Linked DNA regions of Macaca mulatta. The protein of the gene in region 2 interacts with the protein of the main gene of each other region in a biochemical or structural test. Links are inferred from orthologs where the notes say so. Each region holds a gene or a part of one and is shown on either strand. Other genes may lie near its edges.

What was found.
Region 1: the proteins of ASF1B (region 2) and CHAF1B form a complex in vitro, tested with the Homo sapiens proteins (2 studies listed by BioGRID and IntAct). The link is inferred for Macaca mulatta from reciprocal best matches to the Homo sapiens genes ASF1B and CHAF1B.
Region 3: of the proteins of ASF1B (region 2) and TLK2, one has a biochemical effect on the other in vitro, tested with the Homo sapiens proteins (3 studies listed by BioGRID). The link is inferred for Macaca mulatta from reciprocal best matches to the Homo sapiens genes ASF1B and TLK2.

Annotation. Positions count from the first base shown.
Region 1 is NC_133408.1:11,018,697-11,028,294, forward strand, and holds part of CHAF1B (chromatin assembly factor 1 subunit B), read right to left. Parts: intron 4,057-9,598; coding exon 3,987-4,056; intron 3,456-3,986; coding exon 3,364-3,455; intron 1,353-3,363; coding exon 1,211-1,352; intron 1-1,210. UniProt on the Homo sapiens protein: Acts as a component of the histone chaperone complex chromatin assembly factor 1 (CAF-1), which assembles histone octamers onto DNA during replication and repair.
Region 2 is NC_133424.1:14,718,041-14,728,138, reverse strand, and holds the start of ASF1B (histone chaperone ASF1B), read left to right. Parts: upstream 1-3,459; 5' UTR 3,460-4,072; coding exon 4,073-4,181; exon of another isoform or gene 4,182-4,281; intron 4,282-5,524; exon of another isoform or gene 5,525-6,519; intron 6,520-7,760; exon of another isoform or gene 7,761-8,058; intron 8,059-9,263; exon of another isoform or gene 9,264-9,749; intron 9,750-10,098. UniProt on the Homo sapiens protein: Histone chaperone that facilitates histone deposition and histone exchange and removal during nucleosome assembly and disassembly. Cooperates with chromatin assembly factor 1 (CAF-1) to promote replication-dependent chromatin assembly.
Region 3 is NC_133421.1:72,252,980-72,263,350, forward strand, and holds the start of TLK2 (serine/threonine-protein kinase tousled-like 2), read left to right. Parts: upstream 1-5,474; 5' UTR 5,475-5,503; coding exon 5,504-5,639; intron 5,640-5,910; exon of another isoform or gene 5,911-6,003; coding exon of another isoform or gene 6,004-6,061; intron 6,062-6,444; exon of another isoform or gene 6,445-6,498; intron 6,499-6,805; exon of another isoform or gene 6,806-6,825; intron 6,826-7,161; coding exon of another isoform or gene 7,162-7,164; coding exon 7,165-7,247; intron 7,248-8,486; exon of another isoform or gene 8,487-9,853; intron 9,854-9,896; exon of another isoform or gene 9,897-10,371. UniProt on the Homo sapiens protein: Serine/threonine-protein kinase involved in the process of chromatin assembly and probably also DNA replication, transcription, repair, and chromosome segregation. Phosphorylates the chromatin assembly factors ASF1A and ASF1B.

The DNA.
Region 1 (9,598 bases), on a different chromosome or scaffold from region 2:
CAAGCAAAATCACAAGCTTGTCTGAAGGCAAAGACCAGGGAAAAGATACGACTGGAAAAGAGTGTGTGATAGCAACTCACTCATGCAGTTTCATCACGATTTGCTAAGTCACTGCAACCTATCTGTGCTACTAGCAACTTGCACTTGAATAGGCCGGGCACAGTGGCTCACACCTGTAATCCCAGCACTTTGGGAGGCCAAGGCAGGTGGATCATTTGAGGTCAGGAGTTCAAGACCAGCCTGGCCAACCTGGTGAAACCCTGTCTCTACTACAAATACAAAGAAATTAGCCAGGCATGGTGGCAGGCGCCTATAATCCCACCTACTCGGGAGGCTGAGGCAGGAGAATCGCTTGAACCCAGGAAGCAGAGGTTGTAGTGAGCTGAGACTGTGCCACTGCACTCCAGCCTGGGTGACAGACTGAGACTCCATTTCAAAAAAAAAACTCACACTGAGCCAAGCAAGCCGCGGGGGCTGAATTGGGGACCCAAAGGTGGTGGAAGGGCAGGGGTGAGTGACATTCTCTAGACAGGCCCAGCTCGGGGCACTTCCCTGTCCTGGGCAGCAGGGACATGCAGGGGAGGGCTTCTTCCCAGAGGGCCTCAGGAATCCCCAGATGGCCAGGGAGTCTACAGGGCCTCCGCTCAGTTTATCAGAGTCCAGTTAACCCCACAAGGCAATCTGAATGCCATCAAAACCCACCAGTGTGAAAATAGGAAGCAAGTATTATGGCAAACTAGAAATGGCTTTTCCTTTTAATGTTGATTCCTTTAAAAAATAAAATTGGGCCAGGTGCAGTAGCTCATGCCTGTAATCCCAGCACTTTGGGAGGCTGAGGCAGGAGGATCGCTTGAGCCCAGGAGCTTGAGACCAGCCTGGCCGACGTGGCGAAGCCCCATCTCTACTAAACCACAAGAATTAGCCAGGCGTAGTGGTGCACACCTGTAATCCCAGCTACTTGGGAAGCTGAGGCATGAAAATCACTTGAACCTGGGAGGTGGAGGTTGCAGTGAAACGAGATCACACCACTGCACTCCAGCCTGGGCGCCAAGAGTGATACTTGGTCTCAAAAAAGCAAATAAGAAACAAAATTGGTGAATATGTCCCCCAAAGCCATCTTTAGTAACGAAATGCTCCCTAACCCCAGGGTCTCTTCCAGGGTATGGCCATGGGCTCCTTCACTCACTCTCCCTCCTTAGCAGCCACTCACCATGAAATGTCACTGAGCGTGTGGTAATGTATATTAGACACGTAACCGAAAGGGAAGGACTGCTGGGTGTCATACAGAAGCACGGAGTCCTCCGAGGCCACAGCAAACACGAGGCGGTAGGGCAGAGTCATCAGCTCCACACCTGGGGGTCGGGGACAGAGACAAAGTAAAACCACAGAAACAAGGCTTCTGACCGGGCGCAATGGCTCACGCCTAGAATCCCAGCACTTTGGGAGGCCGAGCTGGGTGGATCACTTGAGCTCAGGAGTTTGAGACCAGCCTAAGCAACATGGCAAAACCCCGTCTCTATCAAAAATACAAAAGTTAGCCAGGCATGCGGGTGTGTGCCTGTAGTCCCAACTACTCAGGAGGCTGAGACAGGAGAATCGCTTGAACCCAGGAGGCGGAGGTTGCAGTGAGCTGAGATTGTGCCACTGCACTCCAGCCTTGGCGGCAGAGGAAGACTCTATCTCAAATAAAAAAAAGAGAATATTTATAGGAATAAAATACATCCAGCATCCACTAAGGTCAAATTCAGTGTCTGGTATCTAATCAAAAAGTACCAGGCAAACAAAGAAACAGGGAGATATGACCCACAAGGAGGAGAAAAAAAATCAAAACCAACCTGTATACAAGGACATTAAAGGAGCTATTATAACTGTATTCTATAGGCTTAAGAAGCAAGAGGAAACTGAGGTGGGCAGATCACCTGAGGTCAGGAGTTCGAAACCAGCCTGGCCAACATGGCAAAACCTTATCTCTACCAAAAATAAAAACATTAGCTGGGTGTGGTGGCACACACCTGTAATCCCAGCTACTCGGGAGGCTGAGGTGGGAGATTCACTTGAACCTGGGAGGTGGAGGCTGCAGTGAGCCGAGATTATACCACTGCACTCCAGCCTGGGCAACAGAGAAAGACTCCTTCTCAAAAAAAAAAAAAAAAAAAAAAAAAAAAAAAAAAAAAAGAAAGCAGCAAGAGGAAAGATGGAGCGTGGAGAGGCACAAATATATAAGGAAGACCCAAAGTGAACCTCTAGAGATGAGAACCACAACAACGAAAAACACGCCAGATGGGACCAAGGGCAGGGCATGCAGAAGAAAGTGTTAGCAAACTCAAAACACAGCTATACAGACTTCCAAAATCAAACACTGGAAGAAGAAAAAAACAAAAAAAGTAAGCAGTATCAAAGGCCAGGAATGAATTTCAAAGGACCTAATATAACACATGTGCAATGGGGAGTATTTGAATAAGAGAAGGGGATGACAGAAATAATATTTGAAGGAAAAATGGCTGAAACTCCCAAATGTAATAAAAACTATAAACTGATAGGTCTATGAAGTTCAGTGAACCCCAAGCACAAGAAAACATAACGAAAATGGCTGGGCGTGGTGGCTCACACCTATAATCCCAGTACTTTGGGAGACCGAGGTGGGTAGATCACCTGAGGTCAGGAGTTCGAGACCAGCCTGGCCAACATGGCAAAACCCCGTCTCTACTAAAAATACAAAAATTAGCTGGGTGTGGTGGCGTGTGCGTATAATCCCAGCTACTCTGGAGGACAGGTTGGGAGGCAGAGGTTGCAATGAGCTGAGATTGCACCACTGCACTCCAGCCTGGGCGACAGAGCAAGATTCCATCTCAAAAAAAAAAAAAAAGAGAAAAGAAAAGTGATAATGAGAGACATAGACAAACAAAAGGAGTACGGCTATTCCTTTTAAAGTGCCTTAAGAAAATAAATCCTGAAAAAAGAAAAAAAAAAAAAACTGACATGTATTTTGATAACCTCAGTCTTTGCTCCAGCTTTTAAGAATAACTAAACCGGGCCAGGCACGGGGGCTCACACCTGTAATCCCAGCACTTTGGGAGGCCGAGGCAGGTGGATCACTTGAGTCCAGGAGCTCAAGACCAGCCTTGGTAACATGCTGAAACTCTGTCGCTACCAAAAATACAAAAATTAACCAGTCTCATAACCTGGTCTCAAAATAAATAAATAAATAGATTTAAATGTAAAAATAAAATATTTTAAAAATAACTGAACTGAACCAAACCCACATACACACCTTTCCCTGTAAGACAGAATCCAAATCTCCACCCCACTCTGGTGACCCGTTTCGGAGAGAAAACATAATGCACCCTGAGGCACTGAGGATACCTGTTTCCACCACTGGCCTCAGTTCAAAGTAGACCGGACAGCAGCGAACAGCAAGAGTGGCTTTTCCAGGACACGGAAGATGAGCGATGGGCCTAATGGATTAATTGCAGTGTTAGGAAAAGGCACTGTGACTCAGCGAAAGCAAAAATAAAAGGTAAACATTTCGGCAGGGCACGGTGGCTCACGCCTATAATCCCAGCACTTTGGGAGGAGGAGGCAGGCAGATCACCTGAGGTCAGGAGTTTGAGACCAGCCTGACCAACATGACAAAACCCCATCTCTACTAAAAAAAAAATACAGGCCGGGTGCAGTGACTCATGCTTGTATTCCCAGCACTTTGAGAGGCTGAGGCAAGCGAATCACTTGAGGTCAGGAGTTTGAAACCAGCCTGGCCAACATGGTGAAACTTCATCTCTACTAAAAACAGAAAAATTAGCTGGGGGTGGTGGCGGGCACCTGTAGTCCCAGCTACTCGGGAGGCTGAGGCAGGAGAACCACTTGAACCCGGGAGGCAGAGGTTGCAGCGAGCAGAGATCGCACCATTGCACTCCAGCATGTGCAACAAGAGCAAAACTCCGACTAAAATAAAGGTAAATATTTCAAACATTTCCTTGACTGCATACCTTTTAAGATTCTTCCTGGAGAAAACATAAGTGGTATTCATTACATTTTCACCAGATTCCACACATCCAGCTGGGGAGCAGGGAAGGGAGGGAGAGGAAAGAAAAGTCACTGTTTCAGCAAACTGTTCTATTCTGTTCACCAACGGAAACTCAAGAGCCTTCAGTTCCGGTTTGCAAAATAGCTCCCCCTGAAGTTATATTCTCTAGACAATGTTGTGACTGAGCACAAAAACAAATATTCCAGCACTGTCTGGTCTCGGCCTTTACTCCAGTTCTACCTACTTGTCATCTCCACCTACCTGTGGGCAGTCCCTGGGGACCCGGTTCTGATCTTGGGCCGGGAGAACATAGTGAGCCTTTGCCACAGGGCACCTTTGAGCCTCCAGGCAATTCCTCGATTGATGCACCGTGACTAGATTCAGCTGCCCAGGCTCCTTTCTCCCTAAGACCCTCATCTCTATTCCCTGGATTCCAGCCTTGGATGCTATCCAAAGGCTGAGACTAGCCTTTCCCCAACTTCCCTATCCAGCCATGAGGCTGCCAGGAGACCTTGCCCTCTGCTGAAACCTCCAGCCTCCTTCAGAACCTGACTTTGCTCTGGGGAACAGTCTCCATCTGAGAGCTCTTCTCCACTCACCCCGTGCTGTACTTAAAACAGTTCAGGCCTGTCAGAGTGACCATCATACACTGCTGCTCTTACACTAACATCTCCCTGTTTTATATTATTTCTTGATACATATACACACACATAACTTTACATATGACCGTTTCATATCTACCAGGGAGGGCAGTAGACAGTATCAATAGTCTTTTTTTTTTTTTTTAATTAATACATTCTACATAGCTGCCCTCTTTTCTTTTGAGACAGAGTCTTGCTCTGTCACCCAGGCAAGACTGGGTTTTGGCTCACTGCAACCTCCACCTCCAGGGTTCAAGCAATTCTCCTGCCTCAGCCTCCTGACTAGCTGGGATTACAGGCGCCTGCCACGATGTCCGGCTAATTTTTGTATTTTTAGTAGAGATGGGGCTTCACCATGTCGGCCAGAGGGATCTCAAACTCCTGACCTCAAGTGATCTGCCCTTCTCGGCCTCCCAAAGTTCTGGGATTACAGGCATGAGCCACTGCACCCAGGCCCCTCTTTTCATCCCACTCCATTCTTCCATCCCCAAGAAATCCATTTTAACATTCAACAAACCATTATGTCATCTGTATATTTCCCCCATGCTCACAAAATCATTACAATCAGTTATAACTCAATCACATATATACCTCTATGATTTTTTTTTTTTGAGACAGAGTCTAGCTCTGTCGCCCAGGCTGGAGTGCAGTGGCACGATCTCGGCTCACTGCAAGCTCCGCCTCCCAGGTTCACGCCATTCTTCTGCCTCAGCCTCCCGAGTAGCTGGGACTACAGGCGCCCACCACCACACCTGGCGAATCTTTTTGTATTTTTAGTAGAGATGGGATTTCACCGTGTTTGCCAGGATGGTCTCGATCTCCTGAACTCATGATCCACCCACCTTGGCCTCCCAAAGTGCTGGGATTACAGGTGTGAGCCACCGCGCCTGGCGGAGGATTTTTTTTTATTTAGTCCATTTGTTTTACAAAGCAGGGTATTATTGACACTTCTCCTTATTTTGCTAGTTTCAATCCACTACTCATGAAAATTAACTTGCATAGCACTGATGCATTATTTTTTTGTAGCTGCATAATATTTACTGCAAGATTCATTCACCCAACCTCTGTTAATGAGTATTTATTTGCTTTTGGTTTTTTACCACTATAAACAATGCTTGCAATAAGCATACTTGAACATACACTTTTTTTTTTTTTTTTTTTTTTTTTTGAGACAGAGTCTCACTCTGTTGCCCAGGCTGGAGTGCATTAGCGTGATCTTGGCTCACTGCAACCTCTGCCTCCTGGGTTGGAGCAATTCTCCTGCCTCAGCCTCCTGAGTAGCTGGGACTACAGGTGTGCATCACCACGCCTGGCTAATTTTTGTATTTTTAGTAGAGACAGGGTTTTGCCATGTTGGCCAGGCTGGTCTTGAACTCCAGACCTCAGGTGATTCACCCACCTTGGCCTACCAGAGTGCTGGGATCACAGGCTTGAGCCACCACGCCCGGCCAGTTTCCAGTCTTAATTGGGTCTTCTCCATTCGTAGAATGTCCTTCTATATTTCCTTATAAGAGTTTTCTATTTTTACCTTTTGTGTTTAAGTACTGAATTCACCTGGAATTTATTTTTTATATCTAGGGAAGGGGTCCAATTTTATCTTCTTCCACATATCTAGCTACCCCAGCACTACTCATTCAATAACAGAGTCCTCCCTTTGCAAGATCCATCTCTTGTACAACATGGTGATTATGGTTCATAACAATGTACTATATTCCTGAAAAATGCTAAGAGAGTAGATATAAAGTGTTCAAACCACAGAAATCCTAATTATGTGAGATCATGCTATGCTAATTAGCTAGATTTAGTCATTCCACAACATATATATACTTCAAAACATGTCATACACAACTACATACAATTTCATCTGTCAATTAAAAAAAAAGAGAGGAGGCTGGGTGTGGTGGCTCATGCCTGTAATCCCAGCACTTTGGGAGGCTGAGGCAGGTGGATCGCCTGAGGTCAGGAGTTCGAGACCACCCTGGCCAACACGGTGAAACCTTGTCTCTACTGAAAATACACAAATTAGCTGGGCATGGTGGCAGGCGCCTGTAATCCCAGCTACTCGGGAGGCTGAGGCAGAAGAATCGCTTGAACCTGGGAGATGGAGGTTGCAGTGAGCCAAGATCACGCCAATGCACTCAAGCCTGGGCGACAAGGGTGAAACTCTGTCTCAAAAAAAAGAGGAATAGGTCTTTGTCCAATCTCAACACTTCCCAGCCTTCTTAATGACAAATTCTTGTCCTATTTGCCTTCAGTGTCTAATTCTCTTGAGAATTATTTAAGTAACATACAATTAATTACAAATAAATAACAGATTTTTTTTCCACTGGAACAGTACCTGAGGTCATATATTAAATTGCCTTATATCCTGAGATCTTCTTCTGAACTCTGTGTTCTGGTCCACTAATCTATTTGTTTGGTCCTCTAGCAACACCATACTGATTGGATAAAAGTAGTGTTATAGTATCTTCTGACATGTGGCGAGGCAAATGCCCTCCCAACCAAGTATCACTGGGTTTTTTTCATACTTCCTTGGCTATTCTTCAGCATTTATTCTACTAAACAAAGCTGAAATTTCATCCAATTAAAAAAAAAAAAAAACTTTAATGCAATTCTAATTGGAAATGAAATTGGTATGTTAATTGTTAGAACATGATATATCTTTCCATTTGTTCAGAACTTGTTTTATAACCTTCAATAAGACCTTCTAGGCTTCTCCATAAAGGTCCTGCCCCTTCCTTATTAAATTTACTTCTGCCGGGGTGTGGTGGCTCACACCTGTAATCCCAGCTCTTTGGAAGGCTGAGATGGGAAGGCTGCTTGAGCCCAGGAGTTTAAGACCAGCCTGGGCAACACAGCAAGACCCTGTCTCTACAAAAAAATAAGAAAATTAGCCGGGCATGGTGCTACATGCCCATGGTCTCAGCTACTAGGGAGGCTGAGATGGGAGGATTCCCTGAACTCAGGAGATCAGGGCTGCAGTGATGCAGTGGGCCATGATCACACCACCATACTCCAGCCTGGGTGACAGAGTGAGACCCTGTCTCAAAATAAATAAATAAATAAATACATTTACTCCATGTGTTTTGCAGGCTTTGCACTACAATGAATAAAATATTTCTCCTCCTTCCATTTCTAAGTACTCACTGCCAATATAGACGAAAGATCACAGATTTTTATATATTTTACACTATCCAGCCATCTTATCAAATTATTTTAAAAATTCTAATAGTATTTTTTTTTTTTTTTTTTGAGACGGAGTCTCGCTCTGTCACCCAGGCTGGAGTGCAGTGGCCGGATCTCAGCTCACTGCAAGCTCTGTTCTAATAGTATTTTTTAAATCTCTTGGATTTTCTAGAAACACAATCGTATTACAGATTTTTATCTCTTCTTTTCCGATCTTTGTAATTTCATTTTCCTGTTTTTCCCACACTAACACCACAAAGAACAATAATGTTGATAACAGACATCCACCCTGCTTGATTTTAATTGAAAATATTTTTAGAGTGGCCACTTAGTAAAGGATTTGAAACTGGGGCCCGGCACGGTGGCTCACACACCTGTAACCTGTAATCCCAGCACTTTGGGAAGCCAAGGTGGGCAAATCAACTGAGATAAGGAGTTTGGGACCAGTCTGGCCAACATGGCGAAACCCCGTCTCTACTAAAAACACAAAAATCATCTAGTCATGGTGGCAGGCACCTGTAATCTCAGCTACTCAGGAGGCTGAGGCAGGAGAATCGCTTGAACCCAGGAGGTGGAGGCTACAGTGAGCCAAGATGGTGTCACTGCACTCCAGCTGGGGTGACCAAGCGAGAGATTCTTTTAAAAAAAAAAAAAAAAAAGGCCGGGCGCGGTGGCTCAAGCCTGTAATCCCAGCACTTTGGGAGGCCGAGACGGGCGGATCACGAGGTCAGGAGATTGAGACCATCCTGGCTAACACGGTGAAACTCCGTCTCTACTAAAAAAATACAAAAAAACTAGCCGGGCGCGGTGGCGGGCGCCTGTAGTCCCAACTACTCGGGAGGCTGAGGCAGGAGAATGGCGTGAACCCGGGAGGCGGAGCTTGCAGTGAGCTGAGATCCGGCCACTGCACTCCAGCTTGGGCGGCAGAGCGAGACTCCGTCTCAAAAAAAAAAAAAAAAAAAAAAAAAAAAAAAAAAAAAAAGGCCAGGCGCGGTGGCTCACGCCTGTAATCCCAGCACTTTGGGAGGCTGAGGCAGGTGGATCATAAGGTCAGCAGTTTGAGACCAGCCTAAGCAACATGGTAAAACCCTGTCTCTACTAAAAACACAAAAAAATTAGTGGGGAGTGGTAGCGCACGCCTGTAATCCCAGCTACTCAGGAGGCTGAAGTAGGAGAATCGCTTGAACCCAGGAGGCGGAGGTTGCAGTGGTGAGCGGAGATCGCACCACTGCACTCCAGCCTGGGCAACAGAGCGAGATTCTGTCTCGAAAGGAAAAATGATTTATTACTGGGTTTAGTGAATAACTTCTAATAAATGTTTAGTAACTAACTTTAGTAAATATAACCTAAACAATTATTCTTGGGCCTGAGACTTCTTGAGCCACAGTGTCGTTCCCACATGTTCTGCAGTGTTCTTTAAAGCCCTACCCACACAGCTGCATGTGTGATTCACACCCTTCTCAGGCACTCCCTGGCTCAGCTGGGATGGGACTCAGTGGCAAAGCTGGCCGGTGCCCTCCCGTTTGGCCCAACCCTGGGCTCTGTTGTCATCTTTGTGCACAGGATGGTCCTGGAGCCATGGCAATGAGCAGACATTCTCCTCTGAGAACACTGTGGCCACAACACTGCCTAGCCTTACTTGCTGGGCTGAGCTCCTTTCCTTCCTAGGGACAATAAACCTATCTTGTCCTTGCTACTTGGCTGACCTTTTGATTTTGACCAGTGCTGCTTTACAAGTTTGTCCATG
Region 2 (10,098 bases):
GGGAAAAAAGTTCCACAATGCAAAGATAAAACTACAAAGTTGGAATGAATAAATATTTAAATAAGCATCTAGAAATATGACATCATGACAACTGCATTAATCATTAAATTTAGTATTCATAAGCAATCGAATTACATTTGGAAATTAGATTTTCTCAAATCACAAATATCCCCAAGTATGCAACGATTGCCAAGAAATCAAAGGAATCATAAATGTGAGCTTCCTTGAAGCCAAATAATTTCAAAAGAATATTAAAAAGCTTTCAATTTTTTTTAACAGCTAAAAAAATTTTTTCTTAATGTGAGATGTACACACCAAAAAAAATGGGCTAGGCGCTGTAATCTCAGCATTTAAAGACAAGATAGGTGAACTGCTTGAGGCCGGAAGTTTCAAGAGCAGCTTGGGCAACAGCGAGACCCTGTCTCTACAAAAAATTTAAAAAGTAAAACAGGCAGGGCATGGTGGCTCATGCCTGTAATCCCAGCACTTTGGGAGGCTGGGGCGAGTGGATCACCTGAGGTTAGGAGTTTGAGACCAGCCTGGCCAACATGGTGAAACCCCCATCTTCACTAAAAATACAAAAATTAGCCAGGCAAGGTAGCGTGTGCCTGTAGTCCCATATAGTCAGGAGGCTGAGGTGGGAGAATCGCTTGAAGCCAGAAGCAGGAGGGTGCAGTGAGCCGAGATCGCACCACCGCACTCCAGCCTGGGTGACAGAGCAAGACTCCCTCTCAAAAAAAAAAAAAAAAAAAAAAAAGTAAAACAAATCAGGCATGGTGGCACGCACTGGTGATCCCAGCTACTTGGGAGGCTGAGGTGGGAGGATCACTTGAGCCCAAGAGTTCCAAGTTACAGTGAGCCATGATCATGCCACTTCACTCCAGCCTGGGAAACAGAGCTCTGTTTAAAAAAAAAAAAAAAAATCCCACAGGAACTGGATTGTTTCCAGAGGTGACTAGGTAAGAAATACTAGTGCCTTTGATCAGTGCTATTCAGGCTTACGGCCTGTGATTTTGAACACTGTCCAGGGCACCCTTAGAAAGCCCTCTCTGGGGAGAGGACATTTGAACAGAGACTTGAATGACGAGAAGGCATAAGCCAGCCAAGAGCCCAGAAGAAGAGGTTCTGGGCAGAGCTTTGCACTGGGAGTGGCCTGTCAGATTTTTAACAAAAAGAGGGTTACTTAGGCTGGTTTGAAATTGGAGCTAGGTAGTTAAGAGGAGACAAAGCATAGTTTCGAAGACAATGCTCTCATCCTGAGAAGTGACCTGGTCAAATGTGTTTTTGACCTTCACTGTCCAGTAATACAGGAGCCACTTGTCACAGGGGTTCAGGAGCACTCAACTGTGGCTATCAAGACACCTAAACTGAACTTTCTTTTCTAAAATTTAATTTAATTTTTTTTTTTTTTTTTTTTTTGAGACGGAGTCTTGCTCTGCCGCCCAGGCTGGAGTGCAGTGGCCGGATCTTAGCTCACTGCAAGCTCCGCCTCCCGGGTTCACGCAATTCTCCTGCCTCAGCCTCCCGAGTAGCTGGGACTACAGGCGCCCGCCACCGCGCCCGGCTAGTTTTTTGTATATTTTAGTAGAGACGGGGTTTCACCATGTTAGCCAGGATGGTCTCGATCTCCTGACCTCGTGATCCGCCCGTCTCGGCCTCCCAAAGTGCTGGGATTACAGGCTTGAGCCACCGCGCCCGGCCTAAAATTTAATTTTAATTTTGAGAGACAGGATCTCACTCTGACACTCAGGCTGGAGTGCAGTGGCTGGAGCATCCTGGGCTCAAGAGATCCTCCTGCCTCAGCTTCAGGAGTAGCAGAGACTACAGGTATGCACTACCACACCTGGCTTATTCTTTTATATTTTTGTAAATATGAGGTCTTGTTATGTTGCCCAGGCTGATCTTGAACTCCTGGCCTCAAGAAATCCTCCATGCCCAGCCTCTAAAATTTAATTTTTTTAAAAAAAAGTAAATCTTGGCCGGGCGCGGTGGCTCAAGCCTGTAATCCCAGCACTTTGGGAGGCTGAGACGGGCGGATCACGAGGTCAGGAGATCGAGACCATCCTGGCTAACACGGTGAAACCCCGTCTCTACTAAAAAATACAAAAAAAAAAAAACTAGGCCGGGCGTGGTGGCTCACGCCTGTAATCCCAGCACTTTGGGAGGCCGAGGTGGGCAGATCACAAGGTCAGGAGATCGAGACCATGGTGAAACCCCGTCTCTACTAAAAATAGAAAAAATTAGCCGGGCGCAGGGGCGGGCGCCTGTAGTCCCAGCTACTCGGGAGGCTGAGGCAGGAGAATGGCGTAAACCCGGGAGGCGGAACTTGCAGTGAGCTGAGATCCGGCCACTGCACTCCAGCCCGGGCGACAGAGCGAGACTCCGTCTCAAAAAAAAAAAAAAAAAAGTAAATCTTAAATTAAAAAAAAAAAGATATGGCTGGGTACAGTGGCTCATGCCTGTAAACCCAGCACTCTGGAAGATCAAGGCGGGCGGATCACTTGAGATCAGGCGTTTGAGACCAGCCTGGCCAACAAGGTGAAACCCGGTCTCTACTAAAAATACAGAAAAAAATTTAGCTGGTTGTGGTGGTGGTCACCTGTAATCCCAGATACTCAGGAGGCTGAGGCAGGAGAATCGCTTGAACCCGGGAGGTGGAGGTTGCAGTGAGCCGAGATCGCGCTATTGCACTCCAGCCTGGGTGACAGAGCGAGATTCCGTCTCAAAGAAAAAAAAAGTGGTTTCCAAAAAATGTAAAATTAGGTGCGCGGCTGGCATTATTTTTCCACTGGGTAGAGCTGATCGCCCGTGGGGGCAGAGACTCTGCGACCTGGAGTCTCCCAGGCCGGGGGCGACGGGATGCGGCGGAGAGAAGTTTCCGGATGTATTGTGCGGTCATGAATCATGTCAGGGAATTGCCACTGCCCCCGTTGAATGGAGAGACGCTGCCTCAGGAGCTGAGTAGCAGAGCCCGGACTCGAACACTGGTCTGCCCCCGAACTGAAACTCCCATTTTCAGTACCGTCTGCTTGAAACCTTCCAAGAGCCCTTGAGGGGGCGAGAGCGGGATCCAAACCCCTCGGGGGCGAGAGCGGGATTCGAACCCCTCGTGGGCGAAAGCGGGATCCGAACCGGGCTGGACTCCCGAGGTCCCAGCGCGCCGCGTGACCGCCACTCCGAACGTTCGCAACGTTCACAACGGACTCCAGGGCCGCTGGACCTCAAGGGTCAGGAGCCACTCAGAAAAGCTCCAGACTACGCTCACCTGTTGACAGACGCTGAGGGCGCAACCCTCCTCCTCTTTTTTCACACTCGCCAGCACCGCGGCGGCGCTCGACTTCCGCTTCTCTCCAGCGAATCCCCAGCTGAGCCTCATTCTGCTCCCGGCACTATTACCAATCCAGCCAATCAACTCTCAGAAAACCCTCTTTATCTCCGCCCCACTCCCTCCTGCCAATCACTGAGGGTGCGAGCACCGCCCTTCCCGCCTTCTTTAGCGAGCGCCGCGCGCCACCGCTCGGCGGTTGGCGGCGCTGCGCGGTGCGGGATGCAGCTCCCGGAAAAGCGAGGCGAGGGGCGGGCTACGCCGGTGCGGGAACCCTCAGGATTGGGCAGAAGGAGTCCGGCGCTCTGACTCCGTCCACTCCCGCCGTTGACATCCGAGTCGGAGACGCTGGGGATTGGTTCCCAGCGGACACGCTAAGAAGCCTGGAGATGGTTTCGCCCTCCTCACACGCCGCGGAGAGGGAGCTCCGCTGATTGGTCCGGGGAGTCTGGGCGCGCGCCGACTGGCGCTCCAGGATTGGCTGAGGGGGTGCGCGCGCCGCCAGGGGAGCGTTGGCGGTGATTGGCCAGAGGGCGGAGGCCGGCTATTTGAAGGCGGTCCGCGGTTTAGGTGCGCACTTCAGTCCGCGGAGGGAAGAGGCGGGAGTGGACTTGGTCTGCCGTACCCCACTGACGCCCCCCCACTCACCGGACCCAGGCGCGGCCTCCGCCACAGCCACAGCCCTGCCCCTGCCCCTGCCCCTGCTGCGGCGCGGCGCGGCGCGGCGAGGCGAGGCGAGGCGAGGCGATGGCCAAGGTGTCGGTGCTGAACGTGGCGGTCCTGGAGAACCCGAGCCCTTTCCACAGCCCCTTCCGGTTCGAGATCAGCTTCGAGTGCAGTGAAGCCCTGGCGGACGGTGAGGCTGGGCCCGTGCGGGGACCCCCACCCCCGGGCCGACCCCGGCCTCCCCTTGGAGAAGCGCTCCCATGGCCAACTTGATCTCCCCCATGAAACCCCTCGTCCCCTTTCCGCCAATCCCGATCTCCGGGTGGAGACTCCCCGCCATCAGCCAACTCGGACCTCCCCGTGACCTCCTCTCCCACTGCCCGCCTTGACCTCCCGGGTGGAGACCCCCAGCTAGCTAACTCGGACCTCCCCGTGACCTCTTCCCCCACTGCCCGCCCCGACCTCCCCATAAAGATTAACCCCAGTCAAGCCCCACTTCCCGCGTGGGAAACCTCATCCATCTTTTTAATCTGGAGGTCTTCCTAGGTACCCGTTTTCATGGAGAGATCTTCTTGGCCTCCATTTCTTAAGCCACGGAGATCTTCAGCCACCGTGATTTCCCTGTGGCAAGACCCGCGCTTTAGCCACCCACCCATTTTTGCCCACTTATTCCCTCTTTAGTGAGATACTCACACCTCCCATTTTCCCTCTGGAGACTCCGAATGTCCAGCCCCTTCCCATTTTCCCCGGGGGAAATCCTAGCCATCTGCTATTTTCCCTATGGAGATCTCTCACGCAAGCTCCTTTCCCTCCTCACCGTGAAGACGCTCCCCACCAGTAACCGTTTTTCGCTGTGAAAACCCCTCAACCCCTTTTCAGGACCGCCCTCGCCCCCATCTTCCCATTTGTCTCCCACCAATCCCCTCCCCAACCTGCCAATATTTCAACAACCCCACCCGCACCAGTTGCTGTTGCTTTTCTGCCATTGCACATACCCTGGAACCTGGTTCCTCCTTCGTTGGGGCCCAACCCCTGCTATGCTTGAGCTCCCCCTGGGAAAGGATGCTACCGTCTTTGAGGGGAACTTGGTCTCCCCAGCTCCCCTTCCCCACCCTCTTCTGTGGACTTGGATAAACACACTGAGATCTGAGGGCTGGCATAGCCAGGCAGGTATTAGCTGCTTCTCCAGGTTTGCCCACCCATTTCCAACTGAGTTACTACAGCAGTTCTTCCCTCGCTTTTTCTTTCTTCTTTTTTTTCTTTTTTCTTTTTTTTTTTTTTTGAGACAGACTCTTGCTCTGTTGCCCAGGCTGAAATGCAGTGGCACGATCTCAGCAATTCTCCTGCCTCAGCCTCCCGAGTAGCTGGGACTACCAGCACCTGTCACCATGCCCGGTTAATTTTAGTATTTTTAGTTGGAGGCAGGGTTTCACCACATTAGCCAGGCTGGTCTCGAAGTCCTGATCTCAAGTGATCCACCCACCTTGGTTTCCCAAAGTGCTGGGATTACAGGCGTGAGCCACCGCGCCCGGTCTTTTTTTTTTTTCTTTTTTTTTTTTAATATAGCTGGATAATCAGTGCCAAGCTTCCATTGCTTTTGATGGTCTGACCTAGTCTGGAGGGTGAGTGGGTTGGGCTGAGCTGTGACAGGCTCCAGCTTCAAACAGTCACCTGGAGCCCGGAGGTCACAGCCTCCTGTACATCTTTTCCAAGGTGCTTCTGCAGATGTACTTGTTAATCTGTGTGACTTAAAGGTGGACATGGCTCTCATCTCACAGATGAGAAGACAGGAGCCACAAAGCGCAAAAGACCTTTCAAGTCAAGGCCTGTACAAATCCAAAATCTAAGGTCACCCAGGGAGCCTTGGCACCACTAAAATGCAAGTCCTGCTTTCAGAAAGAAGTACTCCATTAGGCCATTTTTCTACTTGGTGGTTAAAAGAGAAAAGGCAGTAGCCGAGGAGGTAGCGATCTGGGGGCCTGTGAAGCCAGGATGTGCTAACTAGTGCCTTTCGGGGGCAGGTGGGTGTTTGGCCCTCAAAGCTGGTCACCTGGACTAGCTTGGGGCTGATAGAGTGAGATGTGGATGTGCTTCGGGTAGGCCAGTGGGTCTCTCTCTCCCCGGTCTGTCTTGCTCCTTTTTAAATTAAGCAGTCTACTTGTGGCTAACTATAGAATAAGCCGAGTTAAATCCTTTCTGGAACAGGGCAGCGTGTAAATAAATAAATAAAGTGTAGAATGACACTGTGGAATAAGATTTAATTTAAAAGCCAGGAGGAAATGGAAGGAAGTAATAGGTTGAGGGATTCCCAGCTCCCAGGCGGCAGGAGATCAGGTTTCAATCAGCCTGTTTGTGTTCCTTGCATTTAAAAATGGTTGTGTGGTCATTATCTGGTACTTCTCCTAGGAAGCCCCTGCCCTGTGACTTTACTTATTTATAGAATTAGAGGCAGAAAGGCTAAATTCAACCTGCTGCTCCTTTTTTTGTTTTTTTGGAGACGAAGTCTCACTCTCGTCCCCCAGGCTGGAGTGCAGTGGCGCAACCTCCGCCTCCCGGGTTCAAGCAATTCTCCTGCCTCAGCCTCCCGAGTAGCTGGGATTACAGGTGCCTGCTATGACGCCCAGCTAATTTTTGTGTTTTTGGTAGAGATGCGGTTTCACCATGTTAGCCAGGCTGGTCTCGAACTCCTGACCTCAGGTGATCTGCCCGCCTCAGCCCCCCAAAATGCTGGGATTACAGGTATGAGCCACCGTGCCCAGCCTCTGCTGGTCATCTTTTAATAGAAATGGAGTGATTTATCCAGGGTCACCCAGCCAGTTTGTAGAAATATTGGCACTGAAGTTTTGAATCTAAGTTCTTTATCTTTGCTCCGATCCAGGGAAAGAAAGGAAGAAGGATTCCCTATTTCAGAGGTGGAGCATAGATAGGAATGACCATACAATTTATTGCCTAATCAGGATACTCAAAACACAGTAAAGGGGAATGCTATTATTATTATTATTATTTTATTTTATTTATTTTTTGAAATGGAGTTTCACTCTGTCACCCAGGCTAGAGTACAGTGGCGCGATCTCAGCTCACTGCAATCTCCACCTCTTGAGTTCAAGCGATTCTGTGGTCTCAGTCTCCCAAGTAGCTGGGATTACAAGCTTGAGCCACCATGCCCGGCTAATTTTTGTATTTTTAGTAGAGATGAGGTTTCACCATGTTGGCCAGGTTGATCTCAAACCTGACCGAAAGTGATCTGCCCGCCTCAGCCTCCCAAAGTGCTGGGATTACACTTTGAATCACAAGCACGCGGCCAGGGAATGCTATTGTTAATTGCACCCGGATGATAAAGCTTTTCCTTCAAGAAACTCAAGTGAGAAATCCTGGCTCTTCCAGTCCTAGGGCTCTCTGTGACTGATCTGCCAGCTTGCTTTCTGCCTCTTTCTGGCCTCCTCTCCATGAAAAAGAGAATCTGGCTCACTCTCAGCAGTGTCAACTGAAAATCTTGACAAAACCCCCAATCCAGCTGTGCGAGGTGGCTCATTCCTGTAATCCCAGCACTTTGGGAGGCTAAGGAAGAAGGCTCTCTTGAGCCCAGGAGTTTTAGGCCAGCCTGGGTAACATAGCAAAACGTTGTCTCTACAGAAACATCAAAAAATTAATGGGACTTGGTTGCATGTGCCTGTGGTCCCAGCTACTGAGGAGGCTGAAATGGGAGGATTGTATGAGCCCAGGAGGTCAAGGCTGCAGTAAGCCGTAAGCCATGGTTGCACCACTGTACTCCAGCCTGGGTGAGAGAGCAAGACCCCATCTCAAAAAAAAAAAAAAAAAAACCACCCTAACTCCTAAGCCCCAGTTGAGTGACTCCTATTTCTCAAGGGCCTCAAGCCCCCTTTGCACTTTTATCTTCCACATCTGGAAATAGATGCTTCCATGTTTAGCTGAGAAATTCAACAGACACTGGTTGAGTAAGTCATAGAAGCCAGATGTTCTGACCCAGAACTAACAAAGCTGTTATGGCAGCAGGACTGATCTTTGATTATGAACAAAGGCAAAAAAAAAAAAAAAAAAAAAACAGGCTGGGCACGGTGGCTCACGCCTATAATCCCAGCATTCTGGGAGACCAAGGCAGGTGGATCACCTGAGGTCAGAAGTTCAAGACCAGCCCAGCCAACATGGTGAAACCCCATCTCTACTAAAAATACAAAAGTTAGCCAGGCTTGGTGGTGGGCGCCTATAATCTCAGCTACTCGGGAGGCTGAGGCAGAAGAATTGCTTGAACCTGGGAGGCAGAGGTTGCAGTGAGCTGAGGTTGTGCCACTGCACTCCAGCCTGGGTGACAGAGCAAGACTCTGTCTCAAAAAACAACAACAGGCCAGGCACAGTGGCTCACGCCTGTGATCCCAGCATTTTGGGAGATCAAGGCAGGCGGATCATCTGAGGTCAGGAGTTTGAGCCCAGCCTGGCCAATGTGGTGAAAACCTGCCTCTACTAAAAATACAAAAGTTACCTGGGAAGGGTGGTAGGCGCCTGTAATCCCAGCTACTTAGGAGGCTGAGGCAGGAGAACCGCTTGAACCCGGGAGGTGGAAATTGCAGTGAGCCCAGATTGCGCCATTGCACTCCAGCCTGGGTGACAGAGTAAGACTGTCTCAAACAACAACAAAAACAAAAAAGCAGGAAGCAGACTCTTTAGCTAGTTCAGCTACAGTAATCATGTACGTGTCTTTAGTCTTATCATTTATATATATATGTACACACACACATACATACACACACACAGTGGAGGTATGTCTTGTACAGGGACTAGCTTGTGAAGTTAGCGCAGAGAGATAACATGGAACACAGTTGAGTTGCCTTGACATTGCTCAGAAGGTTAGATACACACCTCATGTGTACAGCTGTGTCCTGTACACAGTAGCTATGAGTTCGTGCTGTGTTGGTGATTTGTGTCCCATGTATAATTCTAAAGAAAGATTATATTCAGAAATGCAATCATACACATATGTCGCTACTTACAACACTGCAGCCCGATTTTTTTTCTTTTTTTTAAAAGAGATAGGGTGTTGGCCGGGCACAGTGGCTCATGCCTGTAATCCCAGCACTTTGGGAGGCTGAGGCAGGCGGATCACGAGGTCAAGAGATCGAGACCATCCCAGCTAACACAGTGAAACCCCGTCTCTACTAAAAATACAAAAAATTAGCCAGGCGTGGTGGCGGGCTCCTGTAGTCCCAGCTACGCGGGAGGCTGAGGTAGGAGAATGGCGTGCACCCGGGAGGCGGAGGTTGCAGTGAGCCGAGATCGAGCCACTGCACTCCAGCTTGGGCGACAGAGCGAGACTCCGTCTCAAAAAAAAAAAAAAGAGAGATAGGGTGTCACTATGTTGTCCAGACTGGACTTGAACTCCTGGGCTTAAGCAATCCTCCCACCTCAGCTTCCTAAGTAGCTGGAACCACAGGTGCACCTAACCATGCCTGGCCATTTCAGCAAATGTAAGATGATTCTTGGCCAGGCATGGTGGCTTACGCCTGTAATCCCAGCACGTTGGGAGGCCAAGGCAGGTGGATCACCTGAGGTCAGGAGTTCGAGACCAGCCTGGCTAACATGGTGAAACCCCGTCTGTACTAAAAATACAAAAATTAGAATTACAGGTGCACACCACCACACCCAGCTAACTTTTTATATTTTTAGTAGAGATGGAGTCTCACTGTGTTGCCCAGGCTGGAGTACAGTGGCGTGATCTCAGCTCACTGCAACCTCTGCCTCCCAGGTTCAAGCAATTCTCCTGCCTCAGCCTCCTGAGTAGCTGGGACTACAGGCGCGTGCCGCCACGCCTGGCTAATTTTTTGTATTTTTTGTATCACTGTGTTGCCCAGGCTGGGCTCGAACTTCTGAGCTCAAGCAATCCACCCGCCTCAGCCTCCCAAAGCGCTAAGATTACAGGCGTGATCCACCACGCCTGGCCCTATAACTTTTTTCTTCCTTTCTTTCCTTCCTTCCTTCCTTTTTTTTTTTTTTTTGAGACAGAGTCTAGCTCTGTTGCCCAGGCTGGAGTGCAGTGGCATGATCTCGGCTCACTGCAACCTCTCCCGCCTCCTGGGTTCAGGCAGTTCTTATGC
Region 3 (10,371 bases), on a different chromosome or scaffold from region 2:
GAAAGAGAGGCTGGGAAGGATGCATGCGCCCCATGCCTGGCTCTACTTGCAGTGCCCCCAGGATAAAAGCCAGGAGGCAGGCCTGGCACGGTGACTCACGCCTGTAATCCCAGCACTTTCCAAGGCCTAGGTGGGCAGATCATGAGGTCAGGAGATCGAGAGCATCCTGGTTAACACAGTGAAGCCCCGTCTCTACTAAAAATATAAAAAATTAGCTGGGTGAGGTGGTACACGTCTGTAATCCCAGTTCCTTGGGAGCCTGAAGCAGGAGAATCTCTTTAACCTGGGACGCCCAGGTTGCAGTGAGCCGAGATCGCGCCACTGTACTCCAGCCTACGCGACACAGCAAGACAGGAAGCCAGGAGGTGGGCAGTCAGGAGGGGGAGGGGGACCCGGGAGCTGTGGCTTCTTCTACTCAAGATAGAGAAAGGACGGCTCCCCTGGTTATTATCAGGACCAACTGATTTTGCCTGATCTGAGAGAAAACATCCTGACCACAGGTCACTTGAAATGCCCTGTAATTCAGAAACAGTGGCTGTCCGCAGCAGACAGCCATCTAGATTTAAGTCCCCAAATTCACACACCACACCACAAAGTAAAAGTGTCCACTTACAAGCAAAAAATAACAAACTTAAACAGACAAGCCCCCAACCCACTCTCATTTCATTTCCCTTGGTTCAAGGTCTCCTCTGAGCAGGTCATCTCTCCTGGTGTGTTTGCGTACACGCTGTGGGGGTGTGGGGAGGGAGTCCCTTTTCCTCTTAACCCAGGCAGGGCTGGCTCCAGGTTGCACAGAGCTCCAGAGACAAAACTGCTCACTGCAGAGAAGGGCAGGATCCAGCCCAAGCTCTACTCTGATGAGCTCTGAGATTGGGGGTGGTGACTTCATCTTCTATCTATGGCTTGGAACAATGATGATGACCATGACCCTCTGGTTTCAGTTCAGTCAATGAACACGGAGCAAACTGCTATCGTCAGGCACTAGTCTAGGGAGGTGATTCAGAAAGGCTCCCAGAGACCCACACGCCAATCACTAAACTAATACAACACGCTAAACGCTACATCTACAGTAGGGATGAAGTGTTTTAGGTACAGAGACATAAGGGAGTTGAGAAAAGCTTCAGAGGTTTTCAAAGTGGTTTCCAGACCATCATTGGCCAGCCTCACCTGGGAAGTTGTTAGAAATGCAAATATCAGCTCCACCCCAGACCTGCTGAATCAAACATTCTGGGGGTGGGGCCCAGCAATCTGTTTGAACAAGCCCTCCAGGTGATGATGATGCAACCTAAAGTCTGAGAATCATGTTGAGGTTGGAAAACTACGTTGCAACCAGCAACCTGTTTTTGCAAATAAAGTTTTATTGGAATATATCCATAATCCTTCTTTCAGATATTGTTTGTGGCTATTTCCCTTTTAAACAGCAGAGTTGGGAGTTACGACAGAGACAATACGGCCTGCAAAGCCTGATTCTGCCAAATAACTAGACTAGATTTCCCATACAGGGAGCATAGCCTAGATTTTTTTTCTTTTTTCTTTTTTTTTTGAGACAGAATCTCACTGATAACGCAGGCTGGAGTACAGTGGTGGGTTCTCAGCTCACTGCAACCTCCACCTCCTGGACTCAAGTGATCTCCCAACCTCAGCCTGCCAAGTAGCTGGGACCACGAGCATATGGCAACATGCACAACTAGCTTTTGTATTTTTTTTTAAAGACGGAATTTTTTTTTTTTTTTTTTGAGACAGCGTCTAGCTCTGTTGCCCAGGCTGGAGTACAGTGGTGCGACCTCAGCTCACTGCAAGCTCCACCTCCCTGGTTCACGCCATCCTCCTGCCTCAGCCTCCCAGGTAGCTGGGATTACAGGTCCCCGCCACCATGCCCAGCCAATTTAAAAAACATTTTTAGTGCAGACAGGGTTTCAGCATGTTGGCCGCAGGGGGGCTCAGTCTCCTGACCTTGTGATCCACCCGCCTTGACCTCCCAAAGTGCTAGGATTACAGGTGTGAGCCACTGTGCCCGGCCCAATAATTATTTTAAATAATTACTTTTATTTTATTATTATTATTTTTGAGACAGGGTCTCACCCAGAATGGAGTGCAGTGGTGCCATCTTAGCTCACTGCAACCTCCGCCTCCCAGGTTCAAGTGAATTCTCCTGCCTCAACCTCCCAAGTAGCTGAAAGTACAAGCACGTGCCACTACGTCCAGCTAATTTTTATAGTTTTAGTAGACACAGGGTTTCATCATGTTGGCCAGGCTGGTTCGAACTCCTGGCCTCAAGTGATCCACCCACCTTGGCCTCCCAGAGTGCTGGGATTACAGGAGTGAGCCACTGCGCCCAGCCTAAATTACTTTAAAAAATGGGATCATAGGCAGGATACGGTGGCTCCTGCCTGCAGGCGGGCAGATCACTAGGTTAGTTCCAGACCAGTCTGGCCAACATTGAGAAACCCCATCTCTACTAAAAATACAAAAAATAAGCTGGGTGTGGTGGTGTGCACCTGTATTCCCAGTTACTTGGGAGGCTGAGGCAGGAGAATCACGTGAACGCGGGAGAAAGAGGTTGCAGGGAGCCGAGATCGCGCCATTGCACTCCAGCCCGGGCGACAGTGCGAGACTCCGTCTCAAAAAAAAAAAAAAAATTCCTCTAGCCCAAATCCCTCCATCACAGAAGCAGTTGGAGGAGCTTGAAAAGGTTAGGTAACAGGCCCATGAGGCTTGTCTGTGGAAAGAGCTAGGCTGCAAGACACCTCTGACTCCGTTGAGGGCTTTCTCTTACTCTCCTTTCCCTATTTAAGACATTAAATCATTTAAGACAGTGTCATTTGGTCCGGCACGGTAGCTCACGCTTGTAATCCCAGCACTTTGGGAGGCTGAGGTGGGCGGATCACCTGAGGTGATTGGAGACCAACCTGGCCAACATGGTAAAACCTAGACTCTACAAACAAAAAAAAAAACAAAAAACATATATATATAAGCAGGGCGTGGTGGCACGTGCCTGTAATCCCAGCTACTCAGGAGTCTGACGCAGGGAGAACTGCTTGAACCCAGGAGGCAGAGGTTGCAGTGAGCCAAGATCGCACCACTGCACTCCAGCCTGGGCGACAGAACGAGAGTCTGACTCAGAAAAAAATAAAGTTTTAAAAAGGCAGTGTCATTTGATGGAGTTGCTTTCTTGATCGTTGGCTGCAATTAAAGACCTACCCTCACTGGCTTTTGTGTTGCCTTGGACGGGCTCTTAGGTTCTCCCGCCCTATCAGGCAGTAGAGGCTGGCCTCGAGTGGTAGTCGTCCATCTTGCCCTCTCTTCCTACCCTCTACCCCCCACCCCCTGGCTGCTCTCCTCTCTCCTTCCAACACTATTCTCTTTGGGAATATGCATGTCCAACTTCCCAAGCAGTCTGGGATCTGGAGTAAGACGACTCTTGGTTTAATGGAGTTTTTCCACAGCGCTTGAATGTGCCCCAAGGGTTTGGAAGGTTGGAGAACTAACAAAAAGCAAAGCGCCATCCTGTGTCGTTTTGGCAGGTCTGTGTTTTGGTAATATATGGAAGAATTTAGAGAAGAACGAAGAAATAAGGACAGAAACTCCACTTGGGAGTACTTGTTTAACCCTGAAAAAGTTCAAGGCTGTTGTTCAAGGTCTGAATTTTCCCCTTGAGATTTCGCTTGTAGTCCTTAAAGTCATCTTCCGACATCTGATCAAGGCAGCATCCGCGGAAAATTATAAGGTGGGTGGCTGCACCGGAGACTGTCCTGGCTCAGGGGAGCCGGTGAAGAGTGTGATTTTTTCCCCTTGGCGCTGCGCGATCAGAGTGGGTGCCCTCTGCTATGCAGGAAGCCCTCCTTGCCCACTAGATAGTTCTCATTCCTCAGGAGATATTCTGTCAGGGGCCGGCGTGTTTCTCCGTCTTGGCACTTACCCTCAGACCCTCCTAAGTACCTGGGAGGGCCGTTTTTTTCATCGGAGGTTGAAATGGAACCTCTCCCTGGGTGCCCGGGGACAGTGCCTTGGGGGCAGCGCCCCTCCCTCCGGAGGGCAGCATCCCGGCGGGGGCGGGGGCTCGGCTTTGATCCCAGGGCACCTTTTGTCCCTGGAGACGCTCTGCTAGCCAGGTACGTGGAGTGCAGCCCGCCCTCCGGGGCGCCGCGCGGGGCTGGGGTGGGCCGGCTGCTTCGGGGAGTGGCGGCCGCGAGTCCGCGAACGCAGGTGGGCGCCGTCGCTTCACTAACCGGGCGCCTCCGGGAAGTCCGGGTGGGGTCCGCCGCTCGCACATAGGATTAGCGTCTTCTAAACTCCATCCCTGGGAAAAGCCGCCGCACTTCTCACCCAAACTCGCGGAGCCTAGGGGTTGGGCTGGGGTTGGGAGGGCGCGGGGGCCGGCGAGGCAGATCCAAGAATGGGTGGACCTGGGCGGTCAAGCCCCTCCAGCGCCGGCCCCACTGCCCCGGCCCGGGCAAGTCCAGCGGGGCGGGGACCGGTGACAAAGGCGGCGGCAGGTCCTCCAGGCCTCTGGCCTCCGGCAGTCGCAGGGCGCCCCCGGCCGCCAGACCTCCCCTCGCGTCGCGGCCAGTCCGCCGGCGCCGCCCGTCACCCGCCCTCAGCCGCCCGGCGAGGCGCGGCCTCCTCGGTCGGCGCGGGGTCCCCTGGTTAACCCCTGCCCGGCAGCGCGGCCGCTGATTGGAGGAGGCGGGGCGCCGGGGCAGCGGGGACCCCCCCCAACCTTCCTCGTCCCCTCCCCCTCCTCCCCCACTGTCGGCGCTTCCCCCACCCCCCCCAGGACCCCCCCCTGCCTCCCAGCCGTGCAAATCTCGCGAGGAAACACGCGGTTTCACTAGTGTGTTTACACCGATCACTACTAATCCGGACCGAACCGATCCGGATTAAGGGGCCGGAGGCGGGTCCTGGGCACCAGCGGTTCCGACCCCCCCCGCCCTCCGCGCCGCACCCGAGTGGCCCCCAGCCGAGCGGGCCCCCACCTCCTGGCCCGGCCTGGGCCCTCCTGCGCCTCCCTTGGCCTTTGTCCGGCGCCAGGAGGCCGGTCCCGCGCCCCCCGCGGCCGCCCGGGCCCGGGCCCGCGTCGGGCGCCTGGCTCTGTACGCGAGCCCGGGGATCTGCGGCCTTCGTGCCCCCCCTCCCCCGCCCGCCCTCTCGTGGAGCCGGGCGCCGGCGGCGGCTGCCCGGGCGGGGGGTTGCGGCGTTCAGGAGAGGCCCCGGCTCCGCCCCGGGCCTGCCCAGGGGGAGAGCGGAGCGGCCCGCAGCCGGGTCGGGTCGGGGCCCCTCCCGGGAGGAGCGTGGAGCGGCGGCGGCGGCGGCAGGTGAGAGGCTGAGCCCCGGGCGGGGGAGGGCGCCAGGCCTGGGGCATTAACCGTCCCAGGGACCCCTGTGGCCTGAGGAGCCTGCGACCTGGGCCCCAGCTCGGGGCCGGCTCCGGACCGCAGCTCCTGGGCGCTGAGGCGGGAGGGGCTCCCTGAGGGCTGCGGGTTGCCGAGGGGCCGGGCCGAAGATGGGGGAGGCCCAGGCGGCCCTGGCCTGGGATTGGGGCCGGCGGCCGGAGGAGAGACGGGGGCGCCCCGGCAGCTGGAGGCCTCGGCAGCCTCCCGGGCGCCCCCGAGAGCCGGCCCTCCCTTCCTCCGTGACAGGTGGGCCTGGAGTTGGGGAAAGTTTGGAGCCGGCGAGGGGCGCCGGGACCAGGCCCCGTCGCCCCTGCTTCCCGGCTGTTGGCTGCAGGGAGGATCCCAGTCCAAGGCCCCGCTGGAATTAGACGGAGTGGCTATTTCCTTAACATGAGTTGACATTAAACGGAATAACCGCCGGGGCGTCATTTTCCGGGCCGGGCCTGGGGATGGATAGGTTTGGGAAATGTTGCGAGAGACCTTGGGGTTTGGGAGAGACTGCAACCTCTGCCATTCCGACCTCGATTAGGGCAGGGCAAGAGGCGAGGAAGGCCACGGGGGAAACTCATTCCCCCAGTCTTTTTTTTTCCTTCTTTTTCTTTTTATAAAGATGCATTTCAACCTTTCTGAGAATTTCCTAATTCTCTCTCTAACCTGCACTTGCTTGTGTGGGTGAAACTTTAATTTGTCACCTTTTCATTCCCCTTTGCCCCAGGCTCTCAATCCAGGAAGGGAAATGAAACTGAAGGACTTGTAAGGGGGTTGTTACTGGAGATTGTGGAGTTGTTGGATTGCAGAGGAGAATGTTCGATTCATTTTTTCAGTAACTTTAAAATCACACCAACCATTCCAACTACTTAATAATGTGTTCGAAGGGGTTCTATGTAATGATGTATGCTTCTTTTCCACTGTTAATTTTAAAGGGAGGTTTTCAATGGGTCGTGTAGGAGTTGGTCTCTTGCAAAGGATGGACATATTTGTTGAAAGTAGCCTGTGCATTAATTGGTTATGGAAGTTTAAAAATGGTGTCCTCCTGCCCCTCCCTGCTTGGAAGAAGGGCTAAAAGCAGATGTCCAGAATCAAGAGAAACCTACTGCAGGGAGTGGTCAGAAAACGATTTTTTAAAGGGATTGTTATGGAGCTATATTAATTTCCTGAGTGAATGGAGGTGGATGGTTTCACCGTGGGCTCTCTATTAAATTTAAAATAATTAATTCCTTTTCTCATGAGCTACTGTGAGCTCTTCAGAGAAAGGAGCTGTATTATAGTGTTTTTGCAGTTATTTGTAGCTTCTGATTCATCCTATATTCTTTTGAAATTATTGTCAATGGTTTATATTTTTAGTTTAAGGACTATTTCCTGAGTGGGAAATAAATATCTGAAGATACTTAGCTAGATTCGAAGGCTGATAGAAGGAATTTTCTTTTTGCAGGCTAGTTCTTGTTTTGTTTTTTCCCCTGTGCTCAACTTTGTTACAGAGATTATATGAAGGGTTTGAGGGGTTTATTTTTGCTGTTAAAATCAGATCAGAACTAGGGAAGAATAAGTGACTGTCATAGAAGAGGACTTCTGAGCTGCTTTAGATGTTTTAAATGTATTACTGTTTGATGCAGCACATAGTAGTCTACCACTCGTATGCTGTATTTACTTGAGATTTAACTGCATTTGATCATTCAGTGAAATAATTACTATGAGTTTTGTTCTACAAAAAATTGCCGCCTCACATATTAGTATTTATGGTTTCACAGCCTACTTTTTTCTTTTTCAGTAGAAATGATGGAAGAATTGCATAGCCTGGACCCACGACGGCAGGAATTATTGGAGGCCAGGTTTACTGGAGTAGGTGTTAGTAAGGTGAGTAAAATGATGATAATGAACACTATTCATATTCTGATTTAAACACATTTTTTAAATGATTAAGAGCAACTTGGGTAGGCCCTTCTGATAGTTTGCAGAGGAGATGATTTGGGTCTTAATTTCAATGAACTTTTAGGTCCTACTAGTCATTCCAGTAGTCATTTAACATAGTAGGTTTGAAAATGTTCTATATGGGAATATATGTTTCTTCTTCCTGGCTGGTATAGGAGAGGTTTCTCATGGTTCTTGTTACAAGGAAACTAACAGGATGTGTGTATAGATTCTATGCCATATTTTGTTAAAACTTGTCAGTCATTCAGAAAGAAAATTATAAAGCATTGCATAGCTTTGTTACATTGGACTTTGGAGGTAGTTACATGGTAGAGTTTTGAAAAATTGGCCTCTGTGAAGTCTGCAGACTCTTTACTGGTTGCACCCTCAGACTGGTTTGTTGCTCTTCTCATTCTTCCTTCTTAGTTTTTATTTTTGTTGCAGGAGCATAATATTAGATTAGGCCCCCATTAATGGGCACCTATGAAGTTAAGCAATGTTACAGTTTCCTATGCGTGCTTTTGTACCCACTGGTCCACCCCTCTGCTCTCATAGGATGATTTTACAATGTGTAAAATGTTTGATTTTAATGCAGTATGCAAAGTATATTTACAATATTTTATTTAAAAGCTTCATTGGTCCAAGATCACATTCCTTGGGCTTGAGGTGTGTGAATGTATGAGCTATTGAGTTTTTTTTTTTTTGAGACATAATTTTGCTCTTGTCGCCCAGGCTGGAGTGGAATGACGTGATCTCAGCTCACTGCAGCCTCCGCCTCCTGGGTTCAAGGGATTCTCCTGCCCCAGCCTCCTGAATAGCTGGGATTACAGGCGCCCGCCACTACGCCCAGCTGATTTTTGTATTTTTAGTAGAGACTGGGTTTCACCATCTTGGCCAGGCCGGTCTTGAACTCCTCCCCTCAGGTGATCCACCCACCTCGGCCTCCCAAAGTACTGGGATCACAGGCGGGAGCCACTGTGCCTGACTGAGCTTTTGATCTTTAACCAATGTGATACAACATTTCTTTCTGTGCTTTTCAAGAAATCCTGTCTCATGGTAACCTGGGTGTTGATCTCGTGCTCAGTTAATAGCTTCTCCAAGGAGAAGGCGTGTTGAGGTTTAGTTGGAAAAATGGGCTTCTTTGATGGGTCTCACATTTTGGTGAGCTGGGATAGCTTGATAGGGTTTCGTTTTTTTTGTTTTTTTTTTTTTTTGAGACAGAGCCTTGCTCTGTTGCCCAGGCTAGAGTGCAGTGGCACGATCTCGGCTCACTGCAACCTCTGCCTCCCGGGTTCAAGTGATTCTCCTGCCTCAGCATCCTGAGTAGCTGGGATTACAGGCATGCACCACCACACCTGGCTATTTTTTTTTTATTTTTAGTAGAGACGGGGTTTCTCCGTGTTGGCCAGGCTGGGTCTCGAACTCCTGACCTCAAGTGATCTGCCCGCCTTGGCCTTCCAAAGTGCTAGGATTACAGGCATGAGCCACCGCACCCAGCCAGCTTGATACTTTTTGTTTATTCAACAAATATTGAGCACTTGCTGTATGCTAGGCATTGTGCAAGATATTAGGGCTGATGCTTGAGCACAGTACCTCCACATCTGCAGTTTGGGGAGAGCGAGATGATACCGTGATGAGATCTGTATTACAGCTGTAACAAGGTGCTGTGGGAACACAGGATTTGTTACATATTCTTAATTTCTTTGGCCACTTAGACAGTTTTACTTTTGTGGCACTTTAGAGTGGCTGTACTCCTGGACATTGTATATTGAAGTTGCATGTACAAATGTAAACTCTCTGATCTAGGTGAAGTAGCTTCAAGTAGAAGTGAGCAATGTATTTGAATACTAAATTGATCTCTAAATGACCTCTGATTTGTCTTTTCACTTGAAGATTGAGCATAAGGCTAATATCCAGATCTGTCTGTTTAAATGGTCCCCCGACACCCCCCCTCCCCCATCCTGTAAGTCAGTAAGTTTGTATTCAAATTGTACATAGTTTAAGCTCACTGATCTTTGTCATTAGGGTTGTTGTTCTGTTTTTAGGTTCTTGATGACTGTATCCAAGTATACTTTTGATGGAGTGGGGCATAAGTGATAAGAATGAGTGACATTCAACATGTTGCTGTCTAGCTCCAGCTTAAAATCATGTAACTAAGGTATCAGAAAACTTTAATACAGTAGCCTATCTGTTTAATAGAAAATTCTGCCTTCAACATAGAAAGAAGTTCTCTGTACAGAAAAAGAAATTTACCTATTTCCAGTTTTTTTCTTTGTTTTTGAGAGGGTCTCACTCTCTAGCCCAGGCTGGTGTGCAGTGGCAGGATCTCAGCTCACCTCAACCTCCACCTCCCAGTCTTAAGTGATTCTCCTGCCTCAACCTCCCAGATAGCTGGGATTACAGGCCTGCGGCACTAGCACACTGTTAACTTTTGTATTTTTAGTAGAGATGGGATTTTACCATGTTGGCCAGGCTGGTCTTGAACTCCTGACCTCAAATGATTCACCTGCCTGGCCTCCCAAAGTGTTGGGATTACAGGCATGAGCCACTCACTGCACCCAGCTTTATTTCCAGATGTTTTTATTCCATTAGTTGTTTGTTTGTTTGAGACAGTCGCTCTGTCGCCTAGGCTGGAGTGCAGTGGCACAATCTTGGCCTCCTGCAATCTCTGCCTCCCGGGTTCAAGCGATTCTCCTGCCTCAGCCTCCTGAGTAGCTGGGACTGCAGGCACCCGCCACCACGCCCAGCTAATTTTTGTATTTTTAGTAGATGGGGGTTCCACCGTATTGTCCAGGCTGGTCTCGAACTCCCAACCTTATGATCTGCCTTTCTCGGCCTCCCAAAGTGCTGGGATTACAGGCGTGAGCCACCATGCCCGGCTTCAGTAGTTGTATGTTATTTTGATATTTCCAGTCATGGTTAGTATTGTTGATTACAATGAATTTGTTACTTGAGGACTAGCAGGAGAGTATTTTTTTTTTCCATAACAAAGAAACTTGAAGAAAAAAATTAATTCTGTAGTTTGCAGAGCTGGGAAAATAAAATCTCCATTTTGTATGACTTCTTTTTT